Linked DNA regions of Tribolium castaneum. The protein of the gene in region 1 binds, or shares a complex with, the protein of each later gene. Links are inferred from orthologs where the notes say so. Each region holds a gene or a part of one and is shown in the gene's direction. Other genes may lie near its edges. The genes, in order: ubiquinone biosynthesis protein COQ4 homolog, mitochondrial; Coq7.

Region 1 (3,937 bases):
GGCTAAAGTTTGCCTTTATTTACTTATACCATAAATATTATTGCATTAAAAGATTGGAACTTTGAAGTATTTTTCACGGTTAAAAAACTTTACTTTTGGAGTGTTTTGAATTGTAATAAGGAAAAGATTATTTTATTAAATAATGTTGCAACACTTGGTCACTTTGACATAATACAGTGGTTTTAAATTACGGATATATCCAGGTACAATATAAACAACTATATTATTGTGCATGTGGATAAAGTTACGTCTGACAGAACCATGCCTTCAAAGTATACATATTTCGTGTTTTTGAATTTATGTTAACAATGTTTACAAGAAAATAGAACATGTCAATATAATATAATTCTAATTTTCTAATTTTTTTTCTAAATTCAAGACATTTTTCAAAAACGCAATAGTGTTTATAAACATAGTTTTTAAATTAAATTATACAAAATTAGTGAATTTATTTAAATTCTAGTAATTTAGGTTCGTTGAGTCGGTGTTTTTCTATAGTTAAAGATTAAAATATTTAATAAATCAAAGTTTAGAAAAATTCTAAGAAAAAGTCTCACAATAGTACGAATTATTAAACAAAGTAACAAAAAAATAAACTTAAATTTTGCGTCACATGTGAAATTGAATTCATCGTAGTTTTCGAAATCTGTTGTAATGAGGTTTCACTGCAATAAAAAAATTGCATGTTCAGACTGAAAAAATAGAATAACGAATTTTATTTTCTAAATTCTAACAGATTAGAAATTTAATTGAAGGCATGGTATTTCGTATGGTTATTTTTTTTAAATAAACATTTGGTGATTCTGTTTACATTTACTAGACTGTACAATTTACATTTGCCAGTTGTTTCCATAACTTTTAGTTTTAATTTCAAAATATCACCTTGGATTAGTTAAAGCACATTTTATCTAAAAACTATTTTACGGTCTTGCGTCAGTAATTATTTATTTATTGCGCCTATAAATACCGATAGTGTGTTTAAAAGGACTCAAATTTAAGCTTCCGTTGACTGGAGACCCTATTATTTAGTGCCATCAATCGTGTACTGATTATTTAGTTACGACTAGTTTAAATTTATTATAAAATATTACCAAAGTTTTATCTCATTAATAACACAATGTACCAAATTCCGTTGCAATGTCGATAATCCTGTGATTTTAATGTCGATAATATTATAATAAATAGACACAATTTATTTTAATTGTCTCGTTTCATTGTGGGCCCTTGATCAATTCCAGATGCTCCGATTGCGTAACAATTTGAAATTAAGTCGCCAAATAAGCACGAATTTTGATAAATTCGAAAGCGATTTTCACAAAAATCACATTCCGATCAATGACTTTCAACGGGGACTTCTCGCTATGGGATCGGCTTTGATGTCATTAGTCGATCCATTTCGGCATGACATGATCGCCTGTTTGGGAGAGACTGCAGGTAATTTTAATTACCTCGTATTTAACACACTTAAGTAATTGTTAGGAATGTCCGCCATCACTTACATGAAGCAAAAAATGGAGAGTTCACCAGAAGGCGCCGAAATTCTCAAATCACGTCCGAGGATCAACTCAAAAACTGTCGATTTAAACAAATTAAGGACATTTCCTGAGGGAACCCTCGGTCGTGTTTATGTTAAATGGCTCGATGATAATGTATTAATTATTTTAGGGTGTTTTTATTTTTTCGGTGAGATTTGTTTGTAGAATGTTACGCCCGATTCACGTATGGCTGTTCAATTTGTCGATGACATTGATTGTGCGTACGTTTTGCAACGCTATAGAGAAGCGCATGATTTATTTCATGCCGTTTTGGAAATGCCCACAAATATGTTAGGTGAGAGAAGTGAATTAATGCTTAGGTCATCAAAATTCGATGATTACATCGCAATCAGACACGAAGGTTGTTTATGCGAATAACTGAGATAAATAATAATTACATAGTTGGTTTTGTTGCTTCTGACACGTGTCTTTTTTCCATTAATTTGGCATTTTTCTATTCTCAGTGGTAGAATTAAACTTGCTTAAGATAAGATAAGACAATTATTACAAATGTGAGTCCACAAAAATAATTCTGTTTAAGTAGATTCTGACTAAATTAGTTTTATGCCAGATTCTTAATTAAAAAAAAACTGAAAACTTTAACTAAAACAAATAGAAAATCGTTAAAGTAGATAATGTGTCATCTGCTGCAGAATTGGGAAAGTCAATGAATTATTAACGAATTCCAAAATTAAATTTACTGCTAATTTCGAAAAAAACTGGAAAAACTAAATAGAATGTTGTAAAATTATTAACAGAAATGTATTACTTTCCATGAATTGATGGTTTTAATATTTAACAGAGAATTATAGAAACTTTTTATCAAAAAAAATTTGAGAATTTGTCAAAACATTGTAGAAATACAGGTAAATTAGGTCTGAATTTTTTTATTAATTTAGGAAACTTTTTAGTGACTTACTAAATTAATTAGAAGTATTTTGCCAAAACAGGGCAGAAAATCGAATGCACTATTTTTGTTTATTTAGGAACATTTTTCAGTGAAAGTGACTTTTTCCAAAACAAAAATATTTTTACAAAAAATCATAAAATTAACTATAAAATGTGTTTTTTGAGCTGGTTTTAATTGATTTAGAAAGTTTTTTGACGAGAATTTCCTTTGAATCCGAAAGACTTTGTCGAACAAAAGTAAAAAATTGCAAGATTAACACATTACTCTCTAAAAATTTAAGACAATTTCTGACGCAAAATTTGTAAATAAAATGCGTTGCTTTTTTTGGCGAGAAATTCACTAATTTCTAAAGGTTTTGTTGAAACAATGCAGAAGATATTTGCATAATTATCGCTAAATTAAGTTAATTAAAATTAACGATAAATTTACAAAATCTGAAGGTCTAAAGTGTTGCTCGGAATTTGGGAGCATTTTTGGGTGACTTGACGTTGTGGAATTTTATATATATATTTTTTTGAACTCAGTGCCCCAAAAATAGCAGAAATTAAACTTTCATTATTGTGTAAAGTAGAGTTATTATCTATGGCAGAATTATCCTTTTTCAGATAAGATATTTTAAGATAAAATAAAGAACATTTATTATGAATATGACCATTCAAAAACACTTCTGTTTAAGTAGATTAGAACAGATTAAATTATGAGTTGAATTAACTCTAATCTAGGAATTTTTTAAATTACGAGATTTTTGGCATTTTCCAGCTTTAGATTTTTCAATTTAAATTATTAAAAAAAATACAAAAAAAAATAGTTAGGGTTCAAATAAAATTAATTATAGGTGAAGTAACTGTTAAATGGTACGAAGCGATTCAAACAAGGCTTCCAATGTGCATTGGAGCGGCTATTTTTGGCCCAATTCGACTAAAACCAAAGTGAGTAATTTTTTAAAATAATTTTTGTCAACACATTATTTTAGGCATCGCAACTTGTATAAAAAGTATTATCTTCCATGGGCAATTGAAACAGCAAATAGTAGTAATTTTTTGCTAAATACATTTTTTGAAAAACGGTGGGAACAACCATTGGCTGAATTACACCAAGAATTAAACATCAAACCGTTTATTTTACCACAAACTAGGAGTTAATTATTTATTTGCGTTGAATAATAGTTGTGTAGTTTATTAATAAATGATTATCCTTGCTTATGACGTTATTATATTTACCTCGAATTCTTTGATGCTTAATAATTTACGGAAATCGTGAGTGGGTTTGCGCATGTGCGACTTAAATCATAGCTTAAGCACAAGTTTAATGCACTCTCCCTTCCATTTAATTTTGACAGTTTGCTGTGTTGTCAAATAACCTAAATGTGTCATTTTGAAAAGGAAAAAAGTCATTATTATGTCATTTTCGGGCTTTAGCGAAGATGATATTCGCAAATTAACTAAAGCTCCAGATGTTAATAAGCCACAGAAAGGTATAAACTAATCACAAT
Region 2 (2,746 bases), on another chromosome or scaffold:
GCTTTTTATCCGAACTTTGTACTGAGTTGCGTTTTTAAATTGTGGATATTTGTCGTGGTGATTTCTTTTTAAAGGATCAATAGCGATCCATTCAATTTTTTCCCCTTTGTGGTCTTCAATGAAGCATTTCTTGTTCATTACGTCTTTGTACGTTCCCACAGGATACGTTTTATATGGTACATATGGCAAATCAGTTGGAGGGATAAGTATAAAGTCTTTGAAACCATCTATCACGCAATAAATGTTCTCATAAGGGTCTTTATGCACTAAAAATTTTTGCTGGCTTTTACAATAATTTTTAAAATATTCCAAGCACTTACTACTAGTAATAGCACGTGCATCACCCATCCAAAAATTCACAGCATCTGGAGTTTTGTCAAAAGCCTTAGAAGCCCAAGGAATTTCAGACTGGACGTCGCACATTAACTCACTAAAGTCTTCAGTCAAATTCGAGTTTTGTTTCTGAATGTAGCAAATGTATTGCTTACTGAAACATTTTTAAATAAATGACTATAAAAATTAAAAAAATATATTGGCAAAACTGCTACTGAATTTTGAACGACGTTTACCAACCTGACAACAAGGATAACCCGACACTTTAAAACCTACTTGACGATTTCAAATAATTTAATTTAACTGACCTGACATCGTCCATTTTTTTAATAAACTCCCTCATCGGCATTTTGATTTCTTCCGGCATTACAAAATAATGAACTTTGCCTTTTTCTGTGGTTTTTGTGGCCAAACCATCCGCATACCCATTAGGGGTAACGGCAACTGTCACCTCTTTATTTGGAATGGCCTCCCTACAATAAAACCCTTGCAAAACATGTCTAGATGTTTAAATTATTTTACAAAAAAAATCGTGAATTCCATTTTGATACTGCTGGAAAATGTTTACAACCGCCTCTTATCACGACTGGATAATTTTTGGCCACAAAGTTTCGATAAAAACGCAACGGCCAATCAGCCTTCAAAGTCTCATTAACATTAATCACGGGAACTTCGGGGCACACATGTATCAATTCTAAAATAATAATAAAAACAAAAACCGAGGTTATGTCATAATTTTTTCCAAATTTGTGAAATTTACACCGGGACAGTACCTAAAACATGTCAATTATTACCTGAGGTCTCAGTTTTCAAAACCTCCAACGCCTCTGCAACTTTATTATCGGTCTTATCACACATAATTTTGAGCTTCTCCTGCCAAAAAAGTGAGGTTCTGTTTCAAGCCGCCTGTTTACAACGCAATAATGCTCGCATTTCGCCCCCAAAGCGCCCCTTTGAGGCTCCTCACGCGCTCGGTATCCTCAAAATGCAAGATCGAGGAAATAATTCGTGTCGATCATGCCGGTGAATTGGGGGCTGATGTGATATACGCCGGTCAAATGGCAGTGTTAGGGAGCACCTCCAAAGGCCCCATCATCAAACACATGTGGGACCAGGAAAAGGGCCATAGGGCCAAATTTGAGGAATTGATAAGAAAACATCGCGTCAGGCCCACTGTAATGACTCCAATTTGGAAAGTGGCTGGGTTTGCTCTGGGGGCAGGGACTGCCCTTTTGGGGGACAAAGCAGCGATGGCGTGCACTGTGGCTGTCGAGACGGTTATTGTGGATCATTATAACGATCAGCTAAGGGAGCTGATGGAGGATCCTGAGGCGAATAAAGAGTTGTTGGAAACTATTACGAGGTTTAGGGATGAGGAGCAGGAACACCATGATTGTGGGATTGATCATGGGGCTGAGCAGGCGCCCTTTTATAAGGCTCTGACTGAGGCGATCAAGTTGGGGTGCAAGGGGGCCATAGCCATCTCCAAAGTCATTTAAACTGTCTCAGTGTATTTATTATTGTAAATAAATGTCTGTGACTTTACTTTTTAAATAAAGATACTATTTCAAGTTAATTGTTCTGTTATCATTCACCTCCTGAACAATAAAAATACGAAAAAAAAAACAAAAATTGGAAAGGTCAAACTATTATTTTTTTCTAAAACAGCGTAAATTGAGTTAAATTTTGTATTTTGAGAGGCTTTTTTGAGTAAGGTTTGCATACACACACATTAGTATTCTTGGTTGCATAAGCAAAAACAAATAATACTTTTGCAACTCTTTTTTTAAATTACTTAATTAAATTACAAAGACGCGCCGAATTACAGCGTTATAATAGCACGTTTTGAAGTGAAATTGTGCTGAATATTTTAGGCTTTGAATTGCGTCAAGCCTTCAAAGTTCCACTTGAAAACCATTAGCTCTATTAACAAATTATTCTGCCTGTAATTATGGTGTATATCTCTTTTACGAGCAGAAGCAACACATTTAAAATTTTGAGTTATTGTGAAAACGTTAAAAAGTAAAAATAATTTTTTACAACTCATTGTTTGCGCTTAGAAATGTTTAATTTTATGCTTACTTCAATGAAATATGTATCATAAAAACTGATAATAAATAATTTCAAATAAACGACAAACTCCGCAAACCATTTGCTTGCGGTTTTTTATTCTTTTAGTCCATTCATTCTATGGTAATAAATGTGTACTTATACTTTAAAAAATATTCAGTGATCACAGCTTATTTGTAATTGTAATCTTGGATGGAGCAGACATAGGGTGCATGAATGAATAAAACCGAAAATTTTATTTCTATTTACAATTTGATGATTTAATGAGTTTGCTATAAATAGCATCAAGCTTACTACACCACCGACGTTCGTGTAGTAGAATAATTCTGTTATGAATATCGCT

The links.
Region 2: ubiquinone biosynthesis protein COQ4 homolog, mitochondrial (region 1) and Coq7 share a complex: the UniProt entries of both Caenorhabditis elegans proteins name them as parts of the multi-subunit COQ enzyme complex. The link is inferred for Tribolium castaneum from reciprocal best matches to the Caenorhabditis elegans genes coq-4 and clk-1.

Annotation. Positions count from the first base shown.
Region 1 is NC_087394.1:37,003,299-37,007,235, reverse strand, and holds the end of ubiquinone biosynthesis protein COQ4 homolog, mitochondrial, read left to right. Parts: intron 1-1,282; coding exon 1,283-1,434; intron 1,435-1,479; coding exon 1,480-1,649; intron 1,650-1,700; coding exon 1,701-1,830; intron 1,831-3,280; coding exon 3,281-3,374; intron 3,375-3,418; coding exon 3,419-3,587; 3' UTR 3,588-3,643; downstream 3,644-3,937. Other genes in the region: Gorab (RAB6-interacting golgin), read left to right, coding at 3,844-3,919. UniProt on the Caenorhabditis elegans protein: Lyase that catalyzes the C1-decarboxylation of 4-hydroxy-3-methoxy-5-(all-trans-polyprenyl)benzoic acid into 2-methoxy-6-(all-trans-polyprenyl)phenol during ubiquinone biosynthesis.
Region 2 is NC_087398.1:2,222,096-2,224,841, reverse strand, and holds Coq7 (5-demethoxyubiquinone hydroxylase, mitochondrial), read left to right. Parts: upstream 1-1,256; coding exon 1,257-1,832; 3' UTR 1,833-1,909; downstream 1,910-2,746. Other genes in the region: bifunctional peptidase and (3S)-lysyl hydroxylase JMJD7, read right to left, coding at 1-266, 321-487, 642-806, 856-1,027, 1,128-1,191. UniProt on the Caenorhabditis elegans protein: Catalyzes the hydroxylation of the 5-methoxy-2-methyl-3-(all-trans-polyprenyl)benzoquinone at the C6 position and participates in the biosynthesis of ubiquinone.